Linked DNA regions of Rhinolophus ferrumequinum. The protein of the gene in region 4 interacts with the protein of the main gene of each other region in a pairwise test. Links are inferred from orthologs where the notes say so. Each region holds a gene or a part of one and is shown on either strand. Other genes may lie near its edges.

Region 1 (8,166 bases), on a different chromosome or scaffold from region 4:
CCTCAGAATGGACTTTAGTCTCATCCACACTGCTGTCTTATATTTTTCTGATATGATTTAACAGGAACTTTTTGTAAATGTACCTCAATTCCAGAATCCCTGAAACTCAAAAAAAACATGCACCTAAGTAGGTAAGAGACACAGCAGCAAAGAATGGCATGCTTTCTAAAACTAGAACCTATGTTAAATGTTTTACTTGCACTTAATCTCTACTAATGCTTTGGGAATACCCTGCTGGGGGCTCATGTAACAGACAGGGAAACTGTGGCACTGGACAGTCACATGACTGGCGCAAAGGCTAAAAAGCAAGGAAGTAGTGAGCCTGAACGTGAGCTTTGTCACGTCAGCAAGTTCGGTAAAGCACCAGGCACACTCCTGAACTCAGGCAGAACACTCCGGGGTCTGGCTGGAACCACTAGTGACAATGGGATTATCTCCTTGAAGGCAAAAACATAAGTAAATCAAAGACTGGAAACATGAGCGGACACTCAGAGAGCCACGGGTAAGCACACAGGAGGCTCTGGGCCTCTGGCTCCATGTTTACAAGGTGGGCGAGCTACAAGCCCCAAGAGCCCTTCCTGCTGCTAAGGCTCCGAAACAGACAAGCAGGCAGAAAAGAACCGACACAGAGGAAGCAGTGATGCCTGCTGGGTGCTGGGATGCAGACCAGGAAATTAATTCCCTGGAGACACAGGTGCACTAGGCAGGGGCTAAAGTAGGGAGGAGGCTGGCTCAGAGACAAAGACCTACAGGCGGGACAACACGTGGGCAGCGCTTCCCCCTAAGGCAGGAGTCCTCCTCTCCCCCCACACACACTGATCCCGGACAGATAGGAACAGAAAGGAAGCTCTGATTGTTCAAAATACTGTTGCCACCTTTTGGGAACAGCTACCAACCCAGGGGACTTGTGAGGGCTGAGGGCATGGCCGCCCAGTACCAGGAGGGCCAAGCACTCAGGCAGCAAGCACATCTGCAAGGGCCTCAAGGAAGGGCTCAACCATCTCCACCTGGCGGTCCAGCCATGCACCCAGCCAGAACTCAGGGTCAGTTGCAGCTTTTCCACTTACCAACTATATAAAACCACGCAAGAACAACTAAACCTTTAAAACTTGGTTTTTTCTTCTTTAAACTAGGGTCCCTCTACCTCCTCCCCCCAGGTGTATGAGGATTTGAGGTTTGGAATGCACCTTCCCCAACTCTGACATCACCTCTGAGGGAGCTGATGACCTGCCTCTACTTCCTCTCTGTGAGTTTATCACACTAAGGATGATTTCACAATATAAAACACTGCTTGTTGGGCACTTAATGTATGCCAAGCCACATACCACACACTTCACGATTTCCCATTTAATTTCAGGTCTGCCTCTGACCAGACCTGGGAAAATTTTCAGACTTTTTGAATCTGTTTCCTCCTCTGCAAAAACAAGAAAATCATTTCAGCCTCACTGGGCTGTTACAAGGCTCCACTTAGAAAAACCATGCAAAGAGCTTAGCAAGGTGCCTAGCACGTGACAGGCGCTCAGAGTTTAACTGTTATCATCCTTATTTCAAAAATCGTGAAAACCATATTAATCAACAGACGACAACAAACAGGCACAAAGGAATTAAAGTAGCACACCTAAGCAACAAAGTAGCTTTCAACTCAGGTACGACCAACTTCCAAGCTTGTGCTGTTAAGCAGTACGAGTGAAGACAGACATGCGGAGGGCACTCAAAAACCGGGACTTCTTCCCCAGGCACTGTCTCCTAACGCAGCTACCCGTTACTCAACTCTAGGCTGGGTTCAAGGGAAAGTCCTGCCCCTCTCATTCGGCCAGCCAAACACGGGCATCTTAAGCCTCAAGTCCCTCCACCTTCCCTCAGCCTAAGTTTCTTCACTCTCAAAGCAAAACAGGAAGGTCAAGGAGTTTTTAAACGTCTAACGACTCTCCCAGTTCCAATATTCTTGGAGTCCCTCAACTGACCGGCACCCGCGTGGTCCCGTGCTTTGACTGGGCATCACCTACAAGTACTTGCCGCCCACCCTTTCCTACGGTACTCAACTGGCCCAGGTCCCCTTACTCTCAAGAGCCTCCGTTTCCCCATCTCTACGTTGAGATGATTTATGAGCTTCAGTCTAGATGCCCCGAGTTTGGGATAGAAGACGTGGTGTTTGTCTCTAGCTGGGGATACTGGGAACAAACATTCCACATTGTGATCGTCGCCACTGCCAAAGCCCGCGTGTACGCAAAACGTACGTGCGGGAGAAATACTTCAAGAATGCACAGGGTGGAAAATAAAACACAGGGTGCCCCTTTCACGAGGGAACCCGCGTCACACGCGGTGACCCGAGGCCCCCCACGACCAGCAGCCAGGGCGGGAACCCTGACGAGCGAGTCCGCAGGACACCGCGCAAAGAGCAGCCGTCGGAGAATGGCCGGCCCAAGCCGCCGCCTTGCCCGAGCCCACGTGAACGGTGGGGGGGAGGGGGGCGCTCACAACCGCCATTTTGGAACAAAGGGGGCGTGGAGACCCAGGCCACAGGCCCGGCCGGAACCGGAAGTGCCAAGGAAGCGGGAGTAAAGGGGGGAATCGCGGGACCCGATATATACACTCTCTTCCTCAGATTAGCAATAACAGGAGTCCGCAAGGGGACACCCGGGGCCCTCCCATCCGCGCCACCTGCGCCGGGAACCACGTGGGGCGCGGAACGGAACGTGACGCGCATGCGTGTGGGCCCGCGCTCGCCACCCCCTCCCGCGCGCGGAGGCACGCCGGGCGGTCACGTGAGCGAGTGCGCGCCGCGGGACGGAGGGGGGGGTGCCGCGCGGCCCTGAGAGGACGGGGAAGCGACGAGGAAAATGGCGGGGGACACGGAGGGAAGCCAAGAGCCGCCCCGCCCGCCGCCCCACGCCCCCGGCGCCCTCACCTTGCTTATTTTCGTTGAGCTGCCGCTCGAACTCGTCGAAGTCCGACATGCTGAAGCGGCCGTGTAGGCCCTGTACAGCTCTCGCCTCGCCTTGCCGCCCGCCCGCTCCAGCCGCTTCGGCTACTTCCGCCGCTCGCTTCGGCTACTTCCGGGCGCCCCCAGCGCGCCGCCGCCTCCTCCTGCCTAATCAAGCCCAGGCCGCCCGCCCAGCCCCGGCTCCACCCCTCTCCCGGCCGGCCCGCCCGCCCGCCCGCAAAGCGCCCCTCCCCCAGAGCTTGTTTCCGAAGCGCGTCGGCTATTTCCGGACTGTAGAGGCAGGAGTCGGGTGCGGTGTCTTCGGCAGCTTCCGAAAACACCCGAAGCGAAGGTTTCGCGGAGTTCCCAGGTTGTAAACTCTTCGGAAATTGTCTCTTCAACGTTCGGGTGTTTCCGTAGGTTCTCGCCTTCCTCTGCACCCAACCACCCTCTGCCCGCCAAAGGTTCGGCTTCTTCCGACAATTCAAAACGTCCCAGTCTTTCACTGCTTCCGCAGGGGCTCCCCGCTCTTATCCGCCGGCCCTATCTGAGCAACCCACTACTTCTGACAAGCTTAATCGTCCTAGTCTTCGGCACTTCCCGAAGGTTTCCAGCGCTCGCCCTCAGGCCCCGCAGAGATTATGCTAGATTCCAAGTTTCGGCTCTTTCCGGAGATTCCGTTGGCTCACTCCTCCCCACTGGCACAGCTTCGGCTCCTTCCGCCACCGCTTCGGAAAGGCCCCACTCACCGAGACAGCTTCGGCCTTTTCCGTCTGTTCTTCGGCTCCTTCCGGCTTGGGGAACAGAAAAGGGAGGGAGGACGAAGACGAGGTGGGTCAAGGGAAGGGATACGGGGAAGGGGCGGGGTCCCGGCTCCGGACTCCTGGCTCTCCGGGTGGGGAGAGTGGAGAAAAAGAAGGGCCGATCTCGTGGATGGCCTAAGAAGGTTGCGCGAGACAAAAGCAGCCAGCGGGGTGAACGGTGCGCGCAGCCGCTGCGGAGGTTGGTAGCGCGGCTTTGTGCGCCTGCGCAGGATGGAAGAGGAGGGGCGCGAGATGGCCTTCTGCACCTGCGTAGACGTTGGTCTGAGGCGCGGTTTCTCACTCCGCGAGGAACGGGTTCCAGAGCCTCCAGCACGCGTGCGCGAGACTTTCCCTTCTTCCAGGGAAGAAGCTGAATTCCCGACTGTTAAGCTGGGCCGCCTGGTCCTGGTTGCTGTAGCAACCGCGTAAGTGCGGCCGCCGGCAAAGTCGAGGACGCTTCCAGGAGACTGAATGTCCCACTACCGCCTCCTAGCGGGCGGTCGGAAGCCTCCTCCCAGAGGAGCTCCTCCCACCCTCCCACGCCACGGTGGCCGCCTGTGCTGGAGGTCATTGAGTACTGCCTCCTGCCGCCGCGCCTCTAGTCCAAACAGCCCAATGGGTAGTGTTCACTCCTCTTTTCCAGAGCTCTGCCCCTCCGTGTTCCCGGAACACAGCTGCTACTCCCCCTCCCACCAATGCCTACGGGGGTGCTAATTACACCCTGTCTCCCCAACCTCCCCGGTTTTCCTCCCGACCGCCTGCTTCCTGGAAGCCCCAGGGCTTCTGTCACTGTCTCCAGGGCAACGGCCACCCCCTCCCAGAAAGAGGCCGGGACCTAGTTTATTCCAAATTTTATCGTCTTTTTAATTTAAATTCTCTGAATAATAATCTGCTTCACGTTGACTGGGGGGTCCGGAATTAGGGTCCTCGGGGCTGGGGGCGGAGAACGGGTATGTACAGGGCCCCCGCCCCGTAGAATCCGGCAGTTTCCCCAGGAGGAAGGACCCAGTGAGGGCAGGAAGGGTGCCAGTGTTTAGGAAAGGGCAGAACCCAGCTCCTGGGCAGTGAGTAGCTCTTGGGAGCCTGGCTAAGTGAGGACCCCCAACGCTGGGAATGCAGAGGGAGGGGATGATGCTGGGAATGTGGGAGGCAAGGAGGACAGGTCTGTATAGAAGGGACCAGGAGTGGGAGTGGGGGTCTGCAGGAGGGAGAGGAGAGAGGCACACGCGGGAACACACCATCCACCCCCAGGCCCTAGCGAGGGCACACCACTCATGCACACACTCGCCCACGTTCCAGGTAAGGTGGAGGGGAAGGGAAGTGGGAGTCGGAGGGCAGGTCCCGGGCCAGGTGGGCGGGATCACCGCTTGAAACGGTAGGTGATGGGAAGCAGCAGCTTGCTCTTCTTGAGGGCCTGCACCTTCTTGAGGGTCTCGTCATCCAAGGCCAGGAAGCAGCGGCGCGAGTACTCCAGCAAACGCTCCTTGGAGGGGTCGAACTCACCCACCTCCGCCAGCTTCTCAGGGGCAACAATGAGCAACTCTGCGATAGGCGTGGTCAGCGCCACCGTGTTGCGGTCCACACGGTGGTGCTCAAAGGCCCGTGACATGCTCTTCAGCTTCTGGAAGGTGCCCAGGATCTTCTTGTAGCGGCAGAGGACACCGTCTGCGTCCTTCACTGCAGGGCCAAGGAGGGGTGATAGAGATACGGTAGAGAGAGACAGACATGGGAAGATACAGACGTGATGAAGAAATGGAGATAGAGGAGGTTGGAGGGGGTGGAGATAGACATGAGATGACAGATCCACAGGGGGAATTCAAATGTGGAGGAAGTGGGACAGAAATGGGAGGGCAGATGTGAGGACAAGAGAGATGCGGTGAGGGGCTCACACAGAGCAAAGGGACAGACAGGGACGATGTGGCCAAGGAGCCCAATACAGGAAGAGCAGGAGAACAAAACGGGAAACGGGAGGAAAATGCGGTGAAGAGATGTGAGAAATGGAGACAGGATTTAGGGGAGAGGAAAATTGAAGGAAGGCCGGGAGGAGAGGATGAGGAGGAAAATACAAACAGGAGAGCAGGTCAGAGGTTTGAGTTGCCAGCCACCTGAGCCATCGCCCTTCCCCTTGTTACTGATGTTCGGGAAGGTCTAGAGAGGGTGGACCAAAATGTACAGTATGAACCAGGACCACACATGAAGGCTGGAACCCACCAGCAGGTCTGGTCTGTTACAAATAGGGAAGGGAGGTGACACAGCAAGTCTCAGCCCAGAGCTCTCACACTGCACCCCGCGCCCCCAGCTCACCCCGCTGCCTCTCCCGAGCTTTGGGCTTCCCAAAGCGCCTCCGGCTAGGGCCTCCCTTCTGCCTCTGCCTCTTCCTGTCGACGTTACTGCCTTCTTCAGATACTCCGCTGATCGTGGAGGCTGCCGACTCAGGGTCTGAGGCCTCGCCCCCAGCCCCACCCCGGCTGTCGCCCTCAACCCGCCGGGGCCCAGGCTTCACCCGGCAGTGGTCCTCTGGAGAGAGGTGGGAGAGACATAACAAACACACATTGACTGCAGGAACAGGAGGGAGGAGGAAGTAAGAGGTGTGTCTGCAAGGTGGGGATGGAGGTCACATCGCACAGGTCCCCAGGAAGGGAGGCCTCCCAAGAAAACCGGTAGATAGGAAATTAGGTCCCTGCAAGAGATAGCTGAATATAGGACAGTAAGCTGGGATTTGGGGGTGGATATTGTGGGTTGTGGCTTGGGTGAGGATGCTCAGCGGACTCCTAAACTTGGTGGCAAGAGGTCTGGAGGACGAACCAAATGGACCAAGAGCAGACCGGGGACCTCAGGAGAATCTATGACTATGTGGGGTTCCCACAGTGGAGGACCTCCAGAAGAGTGGACTCAGGACACCCTAGGGGCAGGAAAGGCCTGGGGTGGAGGATTGAGAGCCTGAGAGAAATCTTAGGCTCTGTGTCTAGTAGGCTGGGAATGGCAGGTGCCTGCCTCCACCTAGAAGAGGGAGCGCTGAAGCTCTATGCAGGACCCCCAGAAGGTGGGCTGGGGGAGGTCCAGTGTTGAGAAAGTACAGAGGCCACTGGGCCTGACCATCCTGGGTAGGTTCCGATCATTGTGGGGAGACAACACTATGTCCCAGCAACCCAAGCTAGAGATGGTTCCAGAGCACAGGGGTCGCCAATAACATCAATATTGAAAGGAAAAAAAGAAAAACAGGCTCCTCGTCCTGGCTTTCAGTGGAATTCACAGAGAAGGATGTGGAAGCTTGCAAGGGAGCCAGTCAGGGGCTGTGCACCAAGAGAGGGAGTGTAGAGGCGAGATTCTCCAAAACATGGCTAAAGATTTGGCAAAGGAAAGCCCTCTCTGCAGGAGGGATGGGTCACAGGGTCCTGCCGACCAACAGAAGCAGGAATGAAGCTGGACTTGGGGTTCCAGAGACACCACGGGGTTAAAGGACACCATGGGGATGCCAGGTCCCCATTGAGCCACCAAAGAATGTGTGGGTGAAAAGGGTCCTGTGTCCCCAAAAAGAGCCAGAGCTAGGTGTCAGGGCCCAGGAGTCGGTTGAGGGGACAGCCTCATGGGGTGACCTCACCTGCATCCATCCGCGCAGAGGAGATGAACTTGTCCAGCTGACACCGCAAAAAGTCCCTCTCCTCCTCCAGGTCCTCGATGCGCTTCTGCAGCCATGAGTTCCGTTCCAGGGCCATGTGCAGCTGCGCCCTGACGCTGTTCATCAGGGATGCAGCCTCCGGAGGCTCTAGTGACAGTGGGGGACCCTGGTCACACCCCAGGCCTCAAGGGCCCTGCACCCCAGCTGACTCGCGTCCTTCCCACTCCCCCCACCCCCAGCTCACCCTCAAAGTTTCCCCGAGAGGGGCTCAGACTGTAAAAGAGCTGTGGGTCTAGGTGGGGCGACTCGTCGAAGGGGATGGAGATCTCAAAGGCCTCATCGTCCTTCTTCACTGGAGAGGAGAAGCCTGGGGTCAGCCCAGGGAAGTCCCCGGGCCCCTCAGACCAGCCCCCAACCACAGCAGCCCTGGGAAGGAGAGGGCAGAAGTGGGCAGAGTGGCTGTGGACCAAGGGTGGGGCAGGGTCCCAGCTTCCTCACGTGTCTTCCTCCGACTGTTTCGGTCATTCATGGCGCGGCCTCCGGCGGACCCGGACAGCTAAGCGCCTCAGAGGCACTGGACAGAGAGAACAACCCCAGATGGAGGAACACAGATGGCCTCCTAGGGACATCCAGGAGGTGGAACCCAACTCAGGACCAAGGGGGGAGGTGCTGAGGGCCGAGACTCCTGGGTCTGATGGAAGGGGGACCCAGAACCCTCGGGACTGAGGGAAGACACCTGAGGGTACAAACTCCTGCACTCCTACATAGGTACTCGGGGAAGAAGGAGCTGTGTTCCCGTGGGGTTCACAGAGTGGGGACAT
Region 2 (7,123 bases), on a different chromosome or scaffold from region 4:
TGGGCACTGAGCGAGGCCCCCTGGCGGTGGGTCGGATGAGTGCCCAGGAGGGTGTTCTGGAACAAGGCAGGTGGGTGGGTCTGAGAAGGTTAAGTGCCGCTGTCCCCCACCCTGGGGGCTCCTTCTGATTCGTTTCCACCTCCGATCTCTAATAATAAGGAGCCCTCCTCGATGGACACGTCCACATAGCTCACAGCCTCCAAACCCAGCCTGGCCTCCCTGACTTGGCAACTTTTTCTGGGGTACATGTGGCCCTCAACTCGGTCCCATCTCAGCAGTGGTGGAGGGTCTGTGGGCCCTGCCTGGATCTAGGGGGTCCGTGTCAGGGGAGACCAGTCCGTGGCCTGTCTGTGGGGCTCCCCTGCACGGCAGCAGCTGCTAAATGTGGGTCCCTTCCCATATGCCCTTGCTGCTTCCTTCTTCCTTCTTGTTACACGTACTTACTGAGCACCTACTAGGTGTCTTGGGGTCGGGGGATGCGGCAGGGGACCCAGGCCACGTTCTCAGAGAGTCTGTGTGTATGGTTAGCGTGTGCCCGGTGAGGCACGTGTGAGCAACCTCCGCGTCCCGTGTGACTGGGGCGAGTGGGTGTGTGCATGTCCAAGACTTACGAAAGAGGAAGTGAGTCTCTTCACCTGGAGAGGGGTGGGTGGGATGTGGAAGGACCCAGCCCTGCTGGGCGCCCTATGGAAGCCTCGGCCAGGCTTCCGTGACACCTGGATACAGAACCCAGGATTCTGTCACCCTCTGGGCGCAGCCCTCTGAGGGCACAGGAGGGTCTGGGGGAGGAAGTCCTGAGGTTGGGTAAGGTCCCTGAGGGGCCTGGGGTAAGGTGAGACTGTCCTGAGCAAGGTTCTGGGTATCGTGAACTCATAAGGGGCCCCAGGACCAGGGACTTCTAAGGTGGGGAGTCGGGAGTTTGGGGCTGGCCAGTGCGACACCAGCTTGAGCTCTGGCGAGGGTGGGACCCACCTACAGCCTCCACGAGTGAGGCGCTGTCTGCAGGGCTAACCACAGTCCCACTCCAGCCACTCCCCCGTGGTGGTGGGAACCCACTGGACCTCCCTAGGGGGTGGGTGGTGGCTACCTGGCCAGCAGGCTGGCCTATGGCTCACTCCCGCCACCTAGAGGCCAAGGCTCAGGGTGGGTCCCAAAGGCCTGGGGCTCCACAGCGCCTTGGTCTCCTTCCTCCTCCAGCCTCTGCTGAGATTTGCTAGGCGCCTTGCAGGCTGTCTCCGTGGCCGACGCCGGAGGCTGTGGAGGTGGAGACCACCTGGCTTCTCACAGAGGAGCAAGGGCCCAAGGTGGGCCGGCAGCCTGGGCCCTCCACTGCCGCTGGGCATGGGAAGGGCCCTAGCTGGGCTGACGGCTCCTCCTTTCCTCCGTGCCCTTACTGGTGCCACAAAATGGGCAGTGCCCAAAGTGAAATTCATAGGGTCACAAAGGACACCAATTGCTCCGAAACAGTTACCAAAGTGTTTTCTAAAATGTGTGATGCAGAAAACTGAGTTCCCCGCTGCAGTGCGCTCGTGTGTGCTGTGGTCAGTGCCCACCCTGCTGAGCCGAAGAAAGGACCCCTTCCGCTTGAGAGCACTAGGATTCTTTCCCACTGATTCTTTTCGCACGGGGTTGGTCCCTGACCCTTAGTTCAGACCTGCCGGGGTCTCCTTCCCACCCCACCCAGCCCACCACCTCAGCTCCCAGACCTGCCCTGTCTCCATCTCCCCGACCCCATGGCACCTCTCCTGTGACCCCCTCTGCCCTCTCGGCAGCTTGAATGTCATAGTGGCTGGGGTACAAACTCCAGGCCACTACCCACCTCCCCGTCCTGGGACACCCTCTGTACCCTTGGGACACCCTCTGTACCCTTGGGACACCCTCTGTACCCTGCCACCTGTAGACAAAGGACAAAGTCCCCAGGGCCCCACTCGCACTCCTGGGGGTACAAAAGGCAGGGGTCTTCATTCTTAACCAGCTCCCTAGTCATGCTTGAGTCACCGCGCTAGCACACCTTTGTGGCCTAAAACATTCAACCCAGCCAAACACTTAGAAGCGTCCCTTATGCCAAGCCCCTTGCATGGGAGCGTGGGAGACGTTCCCTCGCAAGGCTGTCCATGCAGGGCCAGGGTAAGTCCTCAAGCTGGTTTTCTGGGGTGTCTGCATGCCCGCTCCCCTCCCCAGCACTTTGTGCTTATCCGTCCCATGGAGATCACATGGGGACTGGCCTTGACACTGGCTCTTTGTCCAGGGGGCTGTGCTGATGGCCCAGACCCTGCTCCAGTGGACGCCTGGGCCAGAGTTAGGTGTTTCGAACAAACCCTTCTTGAAAGCCCAAGTGATGCATCTGAGAGGCCTGTCCTGATCCTCTCCTTTTGGCTGTAATCTTCGGGACCTGAAGCTGTTCTGAGGTCTCTTGGACACGCACCTCCGTGCTCCAGATGGTAGAGGCTGTGGGCTCTGCTCCATGCTGATCATCTGGGTTGACACTCCCTCCCCTGTGCTCTAGCCTTTGCTGAAGCTGTGGCTGAACTCTGTGTCTCAGGATCCTTTGTGGCACTTGGAAGCGTCCAGCATGAGGGGAGTCCCCTCCAAGTGGTCCTCGAACCAGCTCACCTGTCGGGGAGCTCCTGTGGGCTTTGGGGAGCCAGTTCTGAGTCTTTGCAGCCTGATCTCAGAGGTTGAGTTCTCTGGGGTTCCTGCTGGTTATTGTTTTACAAGATGCTGGCCAGCTGTCTGTTGAGAGGGAGGTTGAAGGGTGTGTGGCTGGACCCTCAGAGGCTGCACACTCACTTCGACCAGGTGATTCTGGCCACGAGGACATGCTTGGTTGGGCTGGGCTCAGAGCTCTGGCCCAGACTCACAGTGAGGGGCAGAATCAGAGCCGGACTGTAAACCGGAGGTGCTGTGTTCACCTGTCACAGGGCGTCCGTTCTGGAAAACCTTTGCTTTTTGAATTCCACACTTTTTCCTTATAATTACTAAGGAATCTCATAACCTACCCTGGTTCGCTTTTCAGTTTGGCTGCCGGGAAGCTCAGTTGCATCTAGTTAATGCCACTCAGAGTCCAAGGCATGGTCAGCCTACGTCATCTGGACAGCCCCTCTCCCACCTGGCCTCAGTTACTTGGCTTGAATTTCAGTGGCTGTGGGGCCCACAACTGTAGGCCCTGTCCCCTGGCCTCTACCCTCCCCCAGAATTGTGCCCCTTCCAGCACACCACCCAGCCTCTGCATCACTGAGGAGGTGGTACCCGCCTGGTGGAGATGCTCCCCTGCCCTCCTCCTCAACCCTCCCGGGGCCAGGCCATCCCTTCAGCTGAGTGCAGTAGGGCCCTTCCCAAGGACCTCCAGCAGCAAATTGCTGACACTGTCTCCTGCCCTGAATAAGCTCACAGCAGCCCTGTGAGGTAGACACCGAACACATCCCCATTTCACAGACAGGGAGACGGAGGCACAGAATGGTCAATGACTTGTTTGAAGTGACAGCCAGGGATTCACACCCACTAGCTGACTCCGGGGGCAGGGGCCTTGCCCACGCAGCCCCTGCAAGTGCCCTGGCACCTTCCTACCCCAGCTCTGGCTTCTACACTCCGCATCCAGCTACTGCTCCCTCCCACCTCAGGCTCCCCAGTCGAGGCCTCAGAGGCCAGAATCTAGGCCAGAGCTCAAGGGAGTCTCCCGCAGGACTTCGCTGTAGGGCAAGGGAGTCATGGTCCGGCTGCCCCCGGACAGCGGAAGGTACTAGAGGAGGGCTTAAAGGGGATGGAGCAGGGGAAATGCCTTCGCCAGCTCCGCGTAGTCGGGCCCCCGGCCGCTCCCGGGCGGAGGGTCCGGAGGGAGGCTCCGTGGTCCACGACGCAGCCAGCACGCACTTCCTAGCCCCACGGGCCACCGCAGCGCCCTCCACGGGCTACCCGGTCGCGCGAGGGCTTGTGGGACTGAGAGTCGTTCGGGCCCGTAGGCCTCGAGACGGCCCGCGTCAAGACTACCATTCCCAAGAAGCTGTGCGCGCCCGCATGCTCCTGGGAGGTGTGGTCCAGGGCGGCGAGGGAGCGCGCCAGACGGGAGGGAGCGGGAACTACATGTCCCAGGATGCAGCGCGGCGGGCGCGGGGCTGGGGGTTTGAACCGAGGGTCTCCCGCCCGCTGCAGGGCTGCGTCGGCTGCGGCGGGTGCGGGCGGCGGCGACGGCCTTGGCCGGCGTCTGGGTCGGGAGGCTGAGACTGGCGCGGCGGGCGCTGGGGGCGCTGCCCCTGAGGCAATGATGGGCAAGGAGGAGGAGATTGCGCGGATCGCCCGGAGGCTGGACAAGATGGTGACCAAGAAGAGCGCGGTGAGGGGCGCGGGCCGCCAGGACCCCGGGACCCCCGCCCCGCCGAGCCCCCGCCGAGCCTGCCGAGCCCCCGTCAGGGCCGGGGAGACCACCCGGGGTGCAGAACGAGACCCCGCCCGGGCAGAGACTCCCGGGACGCGGGGAGACCCCGCTGGTGGCAGAGAACCCTGCCCTGGGCCAGCCCTGCCCTTCACCCTCGCACCCACGGCAGAGGCCGCGATCCGGCCTGGACCTTGTCCCAGCAACCACCCGCTCTGGACTCAGACCCCAGCTGCCAGGCTGATACCCCGCAGGCCTGAGATCCGCCCCCTTTCCTGTCCCCTAATCTCAAAGCCCCTCCGGGAGCCGGGCCAGCGGAGACCTTCCTGGGCCCCGCCCCTCCAGGCCTTGCGACGCCCCCGCCTGTTCAGCCCTTTCTTGCTGGCCTGCTCGCCCCCGTGCTTCCCTCCTTCCCTTCCTGGGCATCCTCAGGGCACCCCCCCATCATCCCCCTACCCCAGGTCTCCCACACCTATGCTCTGCCTGCGAGAGTTTAGAGTGTGAGACTGGCCCGCTTTTGCCCCGGAGCCTGAGCCTCCCCTGCCTCTGCCGGGCCTGGGGCCCGGCCCTCGTCATCTTCACAAGCAGGTAGAGGCCTTTCCTGGTCCTGAGGGCCCTTTTCTTCTCTGTCGCCGCCCCATAAGAACCGGGTTTCCTAATAAATTATTTCCCTTCTTTAGCCAGAACTCAGCTAGCAGCAACTGGGGAATGGGTAGGCAGGCAGGGACACTGGGGAAAGGAGCCCTAGGAGGTCGGGAGAGACCCTGGCCAGCTGTGCCTGCTGTGCCGCAAGCGAGCCTCTGGAGGTCGCTGTGCCCTGGTCTCCGAGGGGCCAGCCAGATGTGGCTCCAGTTCCAGCCCCCCTCCGCTACCAGACCTTGGCGACTGCATACACTCACACGGAAACATCCTTGGTGGGTGGTACCTGCCTCCAGCGTGAGTGTGTGTGTGTGTGTGTGTGTGTGTGTGTGTGTGTTCCTGGCTGGCTCCCTGGGAGGCTCAATACACACCAGCCGTGCTCCCCTCAGACTGCTTTTGGGGCCAGCGGAGCCGTGGCCCCAGAGGTGGGTCCAGGGGGCTCAGTCATGGGCTTTCGAGACCTGCGCAGCCACCCCATGGCTGTGCTTGTACTGCTAATTTGGGGGTAACTTTGGGTTGAGCCTGGGTCCCTCCTGACCCTGGTTTCGGACAGGCGTCTACACTGGATCTTGGCCAGGGGCTGGCTCCCACTCATTCATCCGGCAAGCTACCCCCCATTGTGTTCCTACCCTGGGAGGCCCTGGGCAGCGCTGAGCAGTGGTGTGGAAACTAACCTCTAGAGTTGACCAGAGAAAGAAGCTACTCCCCACCTCCCCATGAACGGGACAAAACAAACGACCGCTCCCCTGTGGGGACAGAGATGGGCCCACCAGAATGGTGTGTGGGGGTATCCAGGTGGGAGCCCAGCATGAAGCTCCAGGGGAGGAAGAAGGGGAGCAGCTGTGGCAGGAACGGTGGCTGGGGGGACTGGGGGTGCTGTGGGGTGAGGAGTCAGCTGGCAGTACTGGTGTTTTCACTGCCTGCAAGTCCCCTGGGGGGTCAGGGACTTGTTTAGGCCTCTCTGGTCTGGAGCAGGACGAAGCCTGAGGCTCCTCGTGAAAATGATCAGTTAGCAGCACTGTGCTGTGGGCTCTGGTGACCATCTGTCCCTGCTGAGATCACCCCAAGGCTGGACTCCACAGCCCCAGGGGCAGGGCTTGCTGGAGGCCATGAGGAGGGTGCTGTAGCCTGAGCAGAGATGCCACCCAGATTGGTGGCAGTGTGTGTGTGGGGGTATAGGCCAAGGCTTCCCAGGACCTGGGCTGCAGGACATAAGGCTCTCACAGCCTTGGGTGGCTGGGTTGGTCATGTCTGCCTCTTCCTGTAATGGGAGACACACACACGAAAACACATCAGTGCATCAAAAAGTGAGGTGTCTGTGGAGGAAGGCAAAGTGGGGGGGTCTTGCAGTTTTAAGCAGGAGGGAGAGGACTTGCTGAGAATATCTCTTTTGAACAAAGCTCTGGAGGGAAGGAGGGCAGTCTTTGACATATTGGGAGATACGTCCGTGGCAGTGGGGGCAGCAGGTGCAAAGGTCCTGGGGCAAGCAGCTTGGCACACAAGCACTGAGGAGCTGTGCCTGGAGTGGAGAGATGCAGCCCATTTGTGCGCGGCTAATGTGAGGGCTTTGAGGAGACAGATGGGTGGGGGAGGGGCAGAGAAGGGAGCGGGGCCTGTGACAGTGGTCCAGGTGGGGGGGTGGCTGGCCAAGGGGTAATTTGAGTCCTGGAGACACCAATGGGTGGGGACTTGTAGATGCTGGGCGTGGATGTGGTGTGAGTGGAGGTGCCCTGAGGGTTTGGCCTCAGCTGCGGTCACTGTTCCTGGGTCAGACCCTCTCAGCCGACAGGTGAGCTACTTTGGGAAGAGGCTGCCTGACCCACCTGGCAAAGGACATGGGACGGACACCTTCACCAGGCTGTGGCTCTCAAAGGTGTTCCCCATCGTCCTGTGTGGGGCAAGAAGTCGCATGACCTGTGGGTGCTGGGCTTGAGTGCATAGCCACTTCCCTTCTCATTCCCACCCTCCCTGAGCACCTGATTCCAGGTGGATTTCCAAACTGTCACTGCCTTGTGATCTCAATGTCATTTACGAAGATACCCCTTCTCCTCCTAGGAGGGAGCCATGGACCTGCTGCGGGAGCTCAAGGCCATGCCTGTCACACTGCACCTGCTG
Region 3 (7,895 bases), on a different chromosome or scaffold from region 4:
GCATTTCTGTTTCTATTTTGCAAATATTCTATAATGGCACGAATTCTTTGAATACTGGAAAATAGAGAGCGGGAAGGGGCTGAAATAAATACTCTGGCAAGTGTTCAAAGATGCAATGAGGATGTTGCATTCCATATAGAAGTTTTAATAGCTCTGCTTTCTGTGATGTCTGGCAAGCACAGCATACACCTGATTTGGGAACTTCTATAGCAGTGAGCCAGGTACACCATATTTATTACAATATTTGTTTTGACCCCGGCATGTAAGTAAATCTGTTGCCATACCCATTCTTGATTAACAATTTAGTGGTTTCCAGAGGGTAAGGGAGGGGGTGGTGGTAAAAGAGGGTAAAGGAGATCAAATATAGTGATGGAAGGAGAACTGACTCTAGGTGGTGAACACAATGCAATATGGGGACAGAGCCAGGAGTGCAGTTTCCAGGCTCTTGGCCTCACGTGGAAAGGTGCTGGCTCAGGTAGTAAATGGCCATCAACTGTGATTGGATGGCCATCAGCTGTGACTAGTTGGCCGTCAGCTGTAACCAGTGAGCCATTGGCCACTAATATAACTGCCGTGGCTAAGATAGCAGCAAATGGGGGCGAGCAAGAAGATGGTGGTTGGCAAGCGCGGATTGCCGTTAGGATGTTGGGTTGCGGACAGTGTGGTTCCTGCTTCCTGTGTCTCCAGCCCAGCCGCCAGCAAGAATATAGTGTTATGACTCCCCTATCTATGGCTCCGTGAGTGTTCCTTTTTGGCCTCACCCCATCCTGCATTCTTCTGTGGGGAGCGGGACAGGAGACCCTGCATGACACCCTGAATGACAGCAATATATAGATGATGTATTATAGAATTATAAACCTGAAGCTTATATGTTACTAATCAGTGTCACCCCAATAAATTTAATAAAAAAATAATAAAGTAAAAAAACCCTCAGAAATAAAACAAAAGCACTTTCAAAAATTGCAATGGTATCATTAAAGGCAATCATTTGCTTCCTGATTTTGTATAAATCGTAACCTATATCCAAACATATGTGATTGGTTAAATATAGTATATCATGGCGTGTAATATTTTATGGATATGGGGATATTTTATAGATATGTAATATTTTATATATATGTAATATTTATAGATAATATTTTATAGATATGTAATATTTATAGATATGGGGACTATTGTTAAGCAGGAATAAAAGCAAGATAACGAAACTACATATAGTGGGATTTGGGAAAACTATTACGTAATTTTACTGCCTAGAGACCCAGAAATTCCCAAATCCTGTCTTCCTCCTACCACATCTCTTTCCTGTAAGGTCTTGAAGGAAAACATATGTGGACAGGGAAATGGCAAATGAAATAAAATGCCACGTTATTATTTATTTTGTGCCTTTGTGTCCACTGCAGAAGCTCTCTGGTAAACTGAGTTTAAGGGTCCTCCTCCTCACACTAATTTCAAATGAAAATCTTAGGATCAAATTACCTGGTAACCAGCTGCACAGTGCAGAAGTGGTGACAGGACTCTGCTACCTATAAGACAAAAAATAGCCACACTTGGGAGTATGACCACCTCCCTAGTCCAGGTGAAGCCTGGACCTGGGACATTTACCCATCCTGCTCGTCGAAGTGAAAGCAACAGTTTATATACAAGTCCTTTCTGGGGGAATCACTCCTGCCTTCCACCTCCCCTTTTTCCTCTCCCCACCCGCTCCCATCTTTTCCACTCTTCACCCTCCTCCCTTTCCCTATCTGCCCTCTCCCCTCCTCCTCCCTCCCTTGCTTTTTCTTAAACCCTCCTCCCATTCCCTTTCCCTTCCCAGCTTCTCACCTCCCTCTTCCCTCTCCCTTCTTCCACCTTCCTCCATGTTCCCTCCCCCTCCTATCTGCTTCTCTCTCCCTTGTCTGGTCTCCCACCCTGTCCCTTCTCTCTAATCACTTGAATGTGTATCCTCCAAAGAAGAGCTAAGATTTGGAAAATATAGCAGAATGTTATGAGTTAGACTTTTTTAAAAATTCCCTTTCCCTATTTTCTACTTTTTCTACAATAAGCCCTACTTTTTATAATTAGGAAAAAATGCTAGATTTTTATAGCATGATACACTTTATTTGACATTTATTTATTTTAGGTTGCAACTGAAGTACATGAAAAAATATCAAATGATGTAGTGATCATTTTCAGTGAAAGGCAAAGTAGAACACAGTACAAAAAATGTGGTTAGTAATTTAGTTTACAGTTACACTCTATAGGAGGAAACTTTTAAATACTATGTCATATTAACACTTCAGTGGTAAACAGTAACTTCAGTATGATTACATTTATAGACCACACACCGTCACATAAACAAGCTCAGTCACATCATATATAGTACTGATAGACATTCTTAAAAGTATGTTCATCTTTTTTCAAGCAAATTTCACAATGCACTGTTCTAGTTAATATAAGTACTATAGCAAAGTAATGAAGGCACAGATAGTGCAAGCAGATTTAAAGCCCTAGTCTTCTGGGCTAGAAAAAAACAAACACACACTTGTATTGTTACTTTAGTAACTTGTTTTGTTCAAGCAAATATTTGTTTGGGATAACAATTTTAACAGTTTTCACAGTTACATTCTGATAGGAACATGACAAAAGGATTTCACAAAAATCAAAACTCTGTAGCACCAAACTAACATGCTTCAGATAACGGACAGCAGTTTACAGGTTTTAAAGAATATTACTCTACAACAGGCTATATAAAATAAACTGACACTTAGACATTTTAAGACAGTATTTTAGACCACCAAGAAAATACAAAAGCACAAGGCTGTAAAGAATACTAGTGTTGAGGTTATAGGACAGGTTTTTTTTCAAGGCTATATAAACCTGCTTCGTTTCTGTCTGAAGTTTTGAGATCTTGCAAATTCTTTTCAGGTAGCTGGTTTTTTATTTTCGATATTTCCTGTTTCCATAATCTTTACCATCATCATAGGTACCTTTGACTTCTCCTGTATAGTAATAGACTGATTTCAGGATGACATTATCATGTAAAGTTCGACCAATTTCAAAGTCCTCATCAAGGATAGCATCTTCTCGTGGTTCCAGCTTTCCAATCTTAGGAATCTCAGGAGGGTTAAAGAAATTGAAGAATGATGCTTTAGGAACCACTCTGGGCCGGATTTCAATTTCTCCAGTAGCAGTTGTGCGACTCTGAGTGGTTGTCACCGTAACGTCCTTTCCTCTTCTCCAAATTATCTTACAGCCTTTGCAATCTTGAATTTCCCATCCCCAAGCAAAGAAGGGATCATCATGATCTGGTTTTGACTTTATTATATATGTCTTGGTCAGTACCTCATTTCTGAAGTATGGGTTGGGCAGAAAATAAAATTCAAATGTGTAACTTATAGGCTGGCCAGGTTTTGAGAACTTCAGGCTAATATCTGACAGGAACTTCAGAATGGGCTCATCATATTTCTGAATCCTGGGCCCCAGCTTGTCAACATTCTTTAAAACAGTTAGCCAATAGTCAGGGATGCCTTTAGGATCTTCTCTTTTAGGCCTTCCCTTACGAGCTCTTTTCAGATTCACTCTTTCTTTAGGCCTGACCTCAGGAACTCTTTTAGGAGCCTCTTTTACTGCAGCACTTGCCTTAGCCTCTGTTGCTTTAGGCTGTTCTTTATCTTCTGCCTTTGCCTGGGGAACTTCTTTAGGCTCTTCTTTTACTTCAGGCTTTGCCTCCACAAAATCTTTAGACTCTGTTCTTTCTTCAGCCTTTGCCTCCGGAATTTCTTTAGGAACCTCATTTTCTTCAGCCTTTACCTCAGGTTTTTCTTTAGGGTCGTCGTCTTCTTCCTCACCCTCTAAAGCAGGCATTTCACTAGAGCTGTCTTCCTGTACCTCCTCATCACTGCTGAACACCTCATCCTCTGAATTCCATTCACATTCTTCCTCTGTAGGTTCATATTCTGCATTGATGATTTGAAACCGCCGATCATACAGAGGCTTATTGAGTTCGGCATATTTTCTTTCGAGATCGTGAATTGCCTTTAAGAATAGGGCGTCTACCTTGTCACATTCATCTTGAATATTTCTGAGCGCCTGCACACGATTTCGAACTGCCTGAGGCAGCCGATCTACGAAATTTTTACCCGACGGAGCACGCCGCGCCCTTCTGGAAGGCCCAGGTACCCTCTTCTTTCTATATAAGTAGCTACGGCTGCGGCTACTGCTGCTGCCACTGCTGCTGCTGCGGCTGCTGCTGCCGCTGCTGCTGCTGCCGCCACTAGTGCTGCTGCTAGAGCTACTGCTATCAGATTCTTCCCCAGAATCACTAGACGAGCTAGCCATCATCTCTTCAGCAACCCCATGGGCGGCAGGTTCCGAGACCATGTTAAGATCCGCTTCTGCCATAGTGCAAGCCTGCAAACCTCTTAAGGTGGCGGCTACCGCTGAGACCGCGCGCCCAGAGATGGGCAGAAAATGACTCACGGATGCTTGGATGGCCCAGGCTCGGGATGAGGAGGCGGCAGCGGCGAAGGCAGCAGTAGCGCAGGGAGGGGCGGGGCTGCGGCGATCGCGCGGAGGTGGCGGCGGAGGCCTGACCCGAGCGGCGGCGGCCAGCTTCTCCTGGCGACAGCTATGGCGGACAGAGGCGTGCCGCCGCGGAGTGGTGCAGTGTGAGACCCCGAGATCTCTCCGCCGTTTACATCGCAAGCCCCCTCCCCTTCCAGCCCTACCTCCCCTTAATTTAGTTCCCAGTGTGCCTTTAGCTCGCACCTCATTTGTTGGGAAAGCTTGATTGACGATCGCTAAGCCCAACGAATGCGCAAACGCTGTGCGCCCCCTAGGCTCCGCCCGCCTTCCCAGATGCTTCTTGGTAGCTGGGGCACACACCCCTGGAAGACGTTTTATCCCTACAAAATTCTATCTTTATAGTTTTATAATTAAAAAAAAAAAGCTTAGATTGAGGTAAAAATACTAGCCATAGTTCCTGACAAGGGAAGAGGAGTATCCTTCTCCTGTCCGCTCATCCTGAATTCCCGTTTGATTTGTCAGGGGCCTCTTCACAAAAATCTGTTTTTAAAAACTTGGATGAAAATACTTCAAATGGCATCCTTGGGTAGTGTGATTAGGCTTTTTTTTTTAAATCTCTATCTAAATATTCTATGAGCATGTATTTTTACACTGAAAAAAGGGGGAGTCGTTTATTGGCAAAGGGGGGAGGGGCTAGAAAGCAGGCATATTGCATTCCACGTAGCAGTTTTAATAAGTGCTGTCTGTGATGTTTGGCAAGCCTGCTTTAATCCATCTACAAGGTTTGCGAACCCCTGTTGCCGTGAGTCAAATTACACCATTTTTACTATATTTCTGTTTTTCAGCTGGCATATAATACACCCCAGCCTTGCTGCTGACTTGCCACGTAGCCCTTCTCAATGTTTACAACAACCTTGTAGATAAAATAAAAGGGCATTCAAATGTTGGATAGTATTATTTAAAAGCAGAGGGTTTGCTCTATACTTTTGTGCAGCAGTTTTCAATTCTAGGAACAGAAGGATGGGAGGGGGGATTTGTGCTAGGGAAAGTGCATCATCTGTCAGAGTATACGTTACAATGTCATCTGCCACCCATTTGCTGCAAACATTGTGAAATTCTAACCGTACTCAGTATGATTTAGAAGTCCATTAATATGCAAAATGAAGTTTAAAAACAGGTATCTGTTATTTTTATTTACAGGATTCTTTCCTGCTACAGAGCAACTCCCTTGGTACAACCAAAAAGACCAGTGTTTACTTTTCATTGAAAGGTAAGGAACATATTTAGCCCATTTTTATGAATGACAAGAATTACCTATCTGTATATGAATAAATTCACAGGATGTAGTCTTTTAAAGACTTAATTGGAAGATAACTTGTTATTTCTATGAAAGCAGAAAAATCCACAGAGGTGATTTGACATACTAATGTAGAAAATAATTAATTACATTCACTATCTAAACGTGCTCATAGAATACAAGTAATAAATCAAAATATAAAATATAATGAATTATTCATTTCAAATAAGTGAAAATATGAAAGTTAGATGAACCTTTATGTTACTTTTTCATTATAGGATTTGTGCTTTGTCATATTTTTTAAAAGTTAGGAAGCACCTTTATTTTCTGTTTTGTAAATGAATTTACTTTTATTTCTGATTGTCAAAGGATATAAGCATTGTAAAGAAAAAATACAACTTAGAAAGTTCCAATGATAGTAAAAATACACAATCTTAACAACCGGATGATAACTGTTGTTAGCGTTTTCATGCATTTCCTTCCAGAAATTTATTTATACATACACACGCCTGCCTATCTGTATATACTGTTTTTCCTATGTGACGTGATATTATGTTTTGTAACCTGCTCTTTTATCAATTTATTGTGGCTATATTTTCAAGGTAAATGATCAACGTCTTATTTTAAAATAGATGCATATTCAATAGAAATATTTGCCTTAATTCATTTAACCAGATTCCTGTTGCAAGGCAGCTATTTCCCAACTATCTCTCCACTAACATTTTTTTCCAGTTATAAAAAATTAGTTCTGTATACCTACTATATATACTCGTGAAAATTAGTCATAGGATGAATGCCTAGAAATGGGAGTGCTGAAATGGTACGCTCATTTTATTCTTTGATACTTATTGCCAACTTCTCTCCTGAAAAGTTATCTCAATTTACAGTCCCACGAACAATGCATAAGAGATCATTATTTAATCATTCTGCTAATATATTTTTATGCCTGTCTCATGCCAGGCACATGTAGTAAAGGATGGCAATATAATGGTGAATAAAATTTACTGGGTGTGTATCCTTTCGTTTCATACTTTTAATGAAAACATATAATTTGGAAACAATAATTTAAATCAGTGGGGTTATGCCATAAATATTGCTCTGTAACCTGTTATTTTTATTTAAAATTATGGATATCTTTTTCATGAATGGTCTTATATTTTTATAGTACTTTAATGGCTTAAAATACACATTAAATTTTGTACCATCAGGAATTAGTATTTTGGAGTAAGCAGTGAGTTAGGGATCCAGATTTTTAAAATATGTATGTATTTTTTTAATTAGCTAATTTTCTTGGTACTGTTTATTTGATAATCTTTCTGTCTTACACTTACTTGAAATACCACCTGTATCATAATAGCTAAATCGCTTAATTTTGTTTCTGAATTCTCTTTTCTGATTCATTGGCAATAATTTTTCAGCAAGCAACTAATGAGGCAGTTTTTTTAATAGCTTTATATTTTGTGGAAATGATATACATTGAAAAGAAGACAGCTACTACAATTGAAATCCAAATAAATTAAAAGTAATTCAAAATACACTCAGAGGTGATCACTATTCACATTTTTAATGAATATCTCCAAATTAATTTGTTATTATTATGTATTTGTCTTAGATTAGTGATAAGATTAAATGTCTTTTCATGTTTATTGTACACTTGAGAATTGCCTATTCATATATTTTGCTTGTTTTTCCACTCAATTAAGAAAGAAATTAATTGGTGGTAAAATCCTAAAGGTAAAATATAATTTTGGCCTTGATTGGAGGCAACTGTGACTTATGATATTGGACAAATATGACTTAATTACAGCTTTTATTCTAAAATGATCTACTTAAAGGGTTGTTAAGATGCTTTTCAAAGATTAGTAATTAATCATTTAAACTGATACAGAAAAGTCTGGAGTGGAACAGGGAGAATAAAAAGAGAACACAGCTTGTAAAAACCTCATACAAAGATGATATATTAGTAAACTGTTCATATTTTCAATTTGAAAGTATTTTTTTCCCAAGCCATAAACTATAGGTGACTTCTTGTAACCACAATGGTCTACTTTTATTGTGCATGCATTACCTAAGAACCTAGTAACACACTTAT
Region 4 (7,524 bases):
GAACACTTCTTAATAGAAGAATTAACAAAATGTAAGACATTTATCTCCAGCCAGCATACTTATGTTCTTAGTTATGATATTTAAACAAGAGTTTGGTCCTTTTATAGGAATAGTATATCAAAGTAACTTATAAAGGGAATTTGCTTTTCAGGAACCTGAGTAATATTGCAAACCTAGTAGCTTGATGCATTTCTGAGGAAAGGGGTTCTTCATGGCTTGAGTATCAAAGGCCTTAGGGAGGAAACTAGGAACACTTTAAATTTGACAAGAGAAATTACTGCTGGGCTAGAGAAACAGAAAGAACAAATTTGGTTAATCAGAAAACTTTTGTAATACTATTCTTAGGTGACAGCATATAGCCCAGGTTCATCAGGTCTTATGCAGAATGAGCAAATGTTGTCTGAGGTGATTTAACAGGAAAGTTATCTTGCTTTTTTAATGACTACAGCGTAAGTGTCTTGCGCTCTTCTGCAGTTTTCTGTTTGAGAAGAATCAAAACCACAAGTATTATGAATCCTAACTCTCTCAGGGGGCACTGCTAATTAGCAAACTGGACAGCAGGGTTGTCGTTGATGCCCAGGGGTGTTAGCTCTGTCACCTGCAATCACTGATAATCATACTGTCCATTCATGTATTAATGAGCCTCACTATATATAGATAGGGAGAAAAAGAACATCTGTCACAGTCTCAAATTAATCAGTTTAGCCATCAACTAATGAGTTGCTGAATAAAATATCAATAGTGTTTTCTAATTTGGGCCTAGGACAAAGCTGTTGCTTGTCATAGAAAACAATACTTAAATATAGCACATTATAATTAAAGCAATTTCTTGCATACTTTTCATTTTATTCTTAAGACAGTTATGTGAAGAAGGCAAAGTATTGTCTTTTTTCCCTTTCTTCCGCCTCTCCGCGCCCCAACTCCTGTTCAAGCTGTTGTTTCCCAGTCTAGTTGTGTAGGACACAGCTCCCTAATCCATGCTGGTATTATGAGCTTTGCGCTCCCCTCCCAGGCAGTCGGTCACCAGTCTTCGGTTGCCATTCTTCAGTCCGCCGCTCACAGCAGCTCATGGCACCCCAGCTCCAGGGAGAGTTGTTCAGTCTTAGCTGTAGAGGGCACAGCTCACTGGCCCATGTGGGAATTGAACCTGCAACCTCGGAGTTAGGAGTATGGTGCTCCAACCACCTGAGCCACCTGGTCGGCCCTGTCTTCTTTTTCATAGAAGAAATCCCTGTTATAGATGTTAAGGTTTTTGTCTAGCCACACACAAATAAGTGACAGAACTGATATTAGACTCTTAGTAGGACTCGTGCATGGGTTCAGATAGATGTGAAGGTTATTACAAAGAGGGGAAAGCAGGAGCGAAACTGGGGCTTTGGAAGTCTTTTGGAACACACTGGAGTAGGATAGCTTGGGTGCTCCTACGAGGAAAGGTCTAGAAAGATGACATATCAAGACTTCATAAACCCTAATTTTCTACTTCCAAATCAAACATCTAATAAGGTAGCATACTTCATAGAAAAGCATTTCAGCTGCAGTTACCAACTTGAAAAGCTAATAGTAGGAGGAGTTTGTTATCCCAGACTAGAAATGCATTTCCTACCAATTATAAATTTTATGTGGGGCTATGTAGCAATGTCATTTTTGAAAGGATTTCATTTTCTGTGCATGTGTTCTGCTTCAAGTGTCACATTTCTAGTTATAATGATTTATTGTAATATTTGCAATTCCTTTTAAAACTTGCCTGGTAGAGTTGTATTGTACCAACTTTTGTAACATACGGAAACACTGTATGATCTGAGGTCTTATCAACCTGAAAACGGAACATGCTGACATCTCAGAATTTTAGACCTGCTTACTATGCCATCTTTATTGATCCCTGATAATAAATGTAGAAAGTATCTGAGTATTTAAAGCAAGTAGAGTCAATCAGTGTTTTAAACATAATAATACTTCTATGATTCAAACTGAGATCATATAAATCAAAGCAACAATTTGGATTTTTGTAAACAATATTGTAACCTTCACAAAAACAGATGGTCCAACCCCAGGAACAGATGGTAACTTGGGCAGATCTGTGGGGAACAAGAGGAAGAAACAATTGTTCTAACTGCCCACTAGGAGAGTGGTTTCAGCTACTACAATTCTCAGCCTTTGAAAGCAACAAGGGAAGAAAGTACTGTTGGTCCCTGTGGCTGTGCAGATACCTACCTCACAGAGTTGTTGCAGAAGATTGACAGTTTGTTCAAACTTTGTGATTTAAGAGTTTGTCAAGAAGTTATTCTTTTGAATAAAAGCAATATAGCTAAAATTAAAAAGTACTTGTTATCTTCCTGTTTCTTTAATATTGTTTGCTTTCAAATTCCGAACTCCTGAAATAGTATTCAATATAATGGTTGCAATGGCTTTCTTTTTCATTAATGGACATGAAGTATTTTGTCACATTTCTAATTAATTTTGCTTAGGTATTTTTAAATTTAAAAAGTAGAAATGCTTTTGAGGAGAATTTGATCTGGGCAATCTATATTAATTCTGGACAAGGGTGGAATTGGAATTAAGAGATTAGGCCTGCACCCTGATTCCCCACACCTATTCCTTTTGTGTGTATTTGATAAAGGAAATGTACTTTCCTGAGACTGTGTCTCTTATGTTTGCCTCTCTCCCTTCTCTCTGAAACGAAATGTACTTCAGGCTCTTCCATTTTGCCAAACAGCAATCCATAAACCTGCGACTGAGTCAGAATAGGAAAGGGCACTCACTCAAAGTTTGAAGACCCTAAGACTTGTCTCCCAGGACCAGGCCAGTAGGCTTTAAGGGCTGTTGACAATCACAGAGATAAAGACAATCATTGAAATTTTGTGTTCTATCAGAACCAGCTCATTTTTATGGCATCAATATTTAAGCACTAAGTCCAAGACTGCAAGCAAATTTGAGGTGTTATCAGTCACTGTCATCTTTATCTAATTGCATCCTCTGACTCATCCCATGTCCCAGATTGGTGCATGAGAGGAGTAAACATTGTCAGAAAACACTGAGCATGTTTGAATACTTACTTACTTTTTAAGAGTAGTGCTATTTGGCTGTAGGCCTTTTGATGGGAAAGTAGTATGTGACATAAGAGAGGGTTAAGGGCTAACGATGTTTTAAACTCACTTGATACGTAATAGTTTAGATTTCAATGTTTTAAAACACAAAGTTAAAAACTACTTAAAAATACCTGATATTCAGATCAAAACATTCACCCTTCTAATCGGTGCTAGAGAAAACCTGGAATTTCTAGCTACATGAAAATCTTGTTTCACTAATCCTAGAATATTAACGTTGTAAGGGTCCTTACAAATTGGCTAGTTTTTGTATTTTCTCTGAAAATCAGGTGAAAGCTATGGATAGCTCCCCAGAAGAATGCATACATACACATGTATGTATAATTTCAATTTATTTTCAGGGGATTCAAGAACTGACCATTCATGGATTCAAAATTAAGAATTCCTCATTTCATGCTACAGCCTTACTCCACAGATGAAGATAATGAGACCCATAGAGAATGAATGCTAGAGTATCTTTTTAAATAAAAATTGTTTATAGAAAAAGAAAGCATAGTTGGGTAGAAATTAAAACCTAAACTTAGATATTAGTGTGTTCAAAAACATCTTTAGCCCTCTCCTATGTCAAAACAAGGGTCTTATTTTTCCTCAGTTTATTAAACAAGACAAAGTTTACCTTTCTAGAATAATTGTAACAAAACTTTTTTAATATCAAGGGTGACATCTTTTTTCCTTAAAAAGTGTTATATTAGTAAATAATTATCTCTTGGCCTTTCAAGACTTTGAAAAACATCAAACTTCCAATTAACCTTCTTCAGTTTATCCCTATTGTCTTTCACTTAAATGGGCAAATGAAGAGAACAAATGAACACAAACATCGCTCATTCTCTAATAAAAGGCAGTCCTGCATATTTTGTGCGGCTCATTTGCTTAGTAAGCTGTTTTATTAAAGTACAAAAAACACCGTTTTACAAATAAATAAGGGTCAGATAATTATAAAGTGGTAATTAGTTTAACCATCACTTCAGTCAAGACACATTACCACCATCCCATAAGCCCCCTTCATTGCCTCTCCCCCAAAGTAACCTCTTCTCACTTTAGTTTTACCTAAAAGGATCGTATATTTTATTTGACTTATTCATGTAAGAACCACCTATATTGTATTAGTCATAGCTTCTTTGATTGCTGTATAGTAGTCTACTATATGACGATACAATTTATTCATTCAGTAATGGACCTTTGTGTTGTTTCCATCAATATTTTTACAAATCATATACAATCAGTTCAGTAATGGACCTTTGTGTTGTTTCCATCAACATTTTTACAAATCATATACAATCAGTGGCTGCCCTTTTAAAAAAATGGGCGCAATTACCCAACGACCTCAGCTTTACACCTGTCCTCCTTTAGGCCAGCAGACCCAACAGACCGTATTGTTCTCCACGCTAAACCCCCAGATAAATTAACTCAAGAAAAGGATGGCCGCGGAGCCCGATCCGGGTTCACGTTCCGGTCCCCTCGCCTCTACTCCCAGGCTGTTTCTTTCTTCCTTCCGGAAGCTTTCTTCTCCCGCCCACTTCCGCAACGCTGAGCCCGCCGGGCAACACGCCGGGTCTCAGCCAATCGTCTGCTTCTCAGGGAACGTTACCTCTGACCTCAGGGCTAATCACAGACGGTAGGACGAACTCCTCGCGAGAAGTGAGGTTGAAGCTGCCTTCGCCATCTTGGAGATGGGAGTGGGGAGATGGCTGTGGTCCTCTTGCTACTGGAAATAACAAAACGGGCACATTAGTCACTTCCGAGTGAAGCTATCTTCACCTAACTGTTGGCCAAAGCTACAGAAGAAGTGAGGGTGTCAAAGCCGACCGCAGCGACACTGATAGCAGCTTCACCTGCCAGCTGCGGCGGCAGAAGTGAAGCGACGGAGGACCGAAAGGATGGTGCAGTCCTGCTCCGCCTACGGCTGCAAGAACCGATACGATAAGGATAAGCCCGTTTCTTTCCACAAGTAAGTACCCTTCGCGCCTCGCGGGACTGGCCCCAGCTCGGGCTGGGGGCGCGCGTCCGTTCAGGTTCGGGGGCGGAGCCAGGCGCGTGTCCGCGCGAGACCTAACGAGAGGGGCGGAGGCAGGGGCGGGGCGCGGCCGGGCGTTCCTCCGGTGCTATTCCAGGCGGGGAAGCGGTGGGCGTGCCCGCTTGTGATCTAAGCCCGCGCCGGGTAGCCCCGGGCTGCGCGATCTCGGCGCGCGTAGCCGTAGTGATCGTTTCTCGAGTTTGAGGATCCACTCCGGTGCGAGGTTTGCTCGCTGCCTGGGGTTGGCGAGTTTCGGACCCGCGAGCAATTCCAAGCGAGTCCCTGCGGGTTGTGAGGTCTCCAGACCGCGAGGCATCTGGATTTCACTACCAGGTCATAGAGAAGCCAGGTGGTAATAACTCTTTAGAAATAAATTTGAAATAGAAACAGAGACCTTTAAAAAGAAGTCATTCTTTTCATCCTTGCTGTGGATGTTAGGCCCAGCATCACTATGGATTGATTTTTGGCCAGGATTTCAGGGAGGATGTTTTTGACCCAGTTTCTAGGAATCAACCATTAAGGATCTCTTACGTTTTAGAGACCGTTTCTAGTGCTGCTAAGATGAAGAGTATATGTTTTCAGCACACTGTGATGATAACATGGACAATAATAATACGGACCATGATAAAGTGCTATGATAAAGGTCAATGTGAGCTATTGTGGGTGCACAGAGGAAGCCCGTAGAATAGAACCTACCCCACAGCCTTCAGGACTGTTTTATGCTGAAGGTGCTGGCAATTAGAGTCCTAGAGGGAAAATGTTTTCTTGAAAAGAAAACCGCAAAATGGAAATGACTTAATGATAAATACCTGCAAAATGTGCGAGGTGACACGATAGCATTTTCATTCAACCAAATTCTACAGTATTTACAAGTTTTATTATGTTTACGTCAAATTTTTGCAAGAATTTTCTGCTGTAAATGATGACAGCTAAGAAATTAGAACCAGTGGTGAATTACATGAATTACTCATAGCTAAATAGTTACAATAGCACAATTTTAAATATCAGGTTTTTATTTGGTGGAAGTCATTTATGTTTAAAAGCAGATGTGGATGCATTTTTTACATTCTTGATATAATACAAGAGGGACCATACAGAAATAAGAGTGCCTAGAGCATAGATGTTGAGTGTTGATTTTTTCCTCTCTTCTGAGAAGGAGCTAGAACATTTACCACTTCTAGGATTCAGTTCATTATATCCTAATATTACCTCTTGAATTACTGGAATTTCTGAAAGCTGATGAATTGACCTTTCCAGGACTTTGAAAGTGTAGGAATAGGTCAGGAGGTTGTAACACAATCACACGGGTTCAGCTCCCCGCCTCCCTGTTTCTCATGATGTTTCAAAGGGAATCTGAAAATATGGAAAATCCTTCATTGACACTGCAAACTAAAAGATGACATTCACTCATCAGAATTACTGAGTTTCTGCTGGCTGTTAAACAATTCATTCAACCAAAAGAAGGGCTAACCCTGTGCATTTCATCCCTTAGCTAAAAGAACAGTTTTTGAGGAGTAGATAGGAAAGATTTTGATAAAACCTCACAAACAACCTGAGCACTTGTAGTGCTTGAGTCAGAAGGCCCTATATGCTAAATTTTACCAATGATTGCTACCATACTTTGCACTGGTAGAGGCCGTTTCTAGCCAGAATCTTCTAGGAGTACTTCTTTCCCCAGTTTCTACATGGTGGCAGTGGGAAGAGCTATGCCAGGCAAAGAAAAGGGACTTTCGTAAAGATTGGTTAGATCTTCATGATAATAACAGAGTAAGGTTCTAGCATACCTTACATGGGAAAAACTGGAACATAAATTGGAAACATCCTTCTTTGGCTTCTTTCCAGTCCCCCCCAGCTTATTAAATCCTTGACCTGGAAAAATAAAATCACAATAAATTTAAACTCTTCCTACGTCCCTTTATCTGGCCTACTGGACATATTCCAGTAGATAAAGAGGTAAATCAAAATGAGTTTTTAAATTCTTTAATGATTTAAGTATATAATTTGATTATTCCTTTTTGTCAGACTGATTCTAAGAGAACTAGAAGCTTCCTATTCTCAGTATTTAGATAATAAACAGGCAATTTTGTTTTACAGTACACAGAAAATTACTGGTAAAAAAAATACAGATTCACCCTATAGTATACATTTTATTTGAAACTTTTAGTGTCTTCAATGTAAAAATTTAAACAATAATAAATGAGATAGATAAGAGAATTACACGATTTACCCATGTGTATTTAGAAGTGTGTGGAATACCGTGTTTCCCTGAAAATAAGACTGGGTCTTATATTAAGTTGTGCTCCGAAAGACGCATTAGGGCTTATGTCCAGGGTATGTCATCTTGAAAAATCATGCAAGGGCTTATTTTCTGGTTAGGTCTTGTTTTCAGGGAAACATGATACCTGC

Evidence for each region.
Region 1: the proteins of THAP1 (region 4) and U2AF2 interact in binary tests that used the Homo sapiens proteins (3 or more experiments, as listed by UniProt). The two-hybrid records come from large-scale screens. The link is inferred for Rhinolophus ferrumequinum from reciprocal best matches to the Homo sapiens genes THAP1 and U2AF2.
Region 2: the proteins of THAP1 (region 4) and TCEA2 interact in binary tests that used the Homo sapiens proteins (3 or more experiments, as listed by UniProt). The two-hybrid records come from large-scale screens. The link is inferred for Rhinolophus ferrumequinum from reciprocal best matches to the Homo sapiens genes THAP1 and TCEA2.
Region 3: the proteins of THAP1 (region 4) and FAM133A interact in binary tests that used the Homo sapiens proteins (3 or more experiments, as listed by UniProt). The two-hybrid records come from large-scale screens. The link is inferred for Rhinolophus ferrumequinum from reciprocal best matches to the Homo sapiens genes THAP1 and FAM133A.

The regions. Positions count from the first base shown.
Region 1 is NC_046298.1:48,709,748-48,717,913, reverse strand, and holds the start of U2AF2 (splicing factor U2AF 65 kDa subunit), read right to left. Parts: upstream 3,025-8,166; 5' UTR 2,958-3,024; coding exon 2,909-2,957; intron 1-2,908. Other genes in the region: CCDC106 (coiled-coil domain-containing protein 106), read right to left, coding at 5,087-5,403, 6,031-6,243, 7,328-7,492, 7,590-7,697, 7,844-7,874. UniProt on the Homo sapiens protein: Plays a role in pre-mRNA splicing and 3'-end processing. By recruiting PRPF19 and the PRP19C/Prp19 complex/NTC/Nineteen complex to the RNA polymerase II C-terminal domain (CTD), and thereby pre-mRNA, may couple transcription to splicing.
Region 2 is NC_046306.1:142,735-149,857, reverse strand, and holds the start of TCEA2 (transcription elongation factor A protein 2), read left to right. Parts: upstream 1-4,099; 5' UTR 4,100-4,258; coding exon 4,259-4,330; intron 4,331-4,797; exon of another isoform or gene 4,798-4,957; intron 4,958-7,063; coding exon 7,064-7,123. UniProt on the Homo sapiens protein: Necessary for efficient RNA polymerase II transcription elongation past template-encoded arresting sites.
Region 3 is NC_046284.1:60,758,883-60,766,777, reverse strand, and holds the start of FAM133A (protein FAM133A), read left to right. Parts: upstream 1-4,871; 5' UTR 4,872-5,092; intron 5,093-5,706; 5' UTR 5,707-5,776; intron 5,777-7,895. Other genes in the region: NAP1L3 (nucleosome assembly protein 1-like 3), read right to left, coding at 2,920-4,383.
Region 4 is NC_046287.1:57,931,389-57,938,912, forward strand, and holds the start of THAP1 (THAP domain-containing protein 1), read left to right. Parts: upstream 1-4,431; 5' UTR 4,432-4,981; coding exon 4,982-5,052; intron 5,053-7,524. UniProt on the Homo sapiens protein: DNA-binding transcription regulator that regulates endothelial cell proliferation and G1/S cell-cycle progression.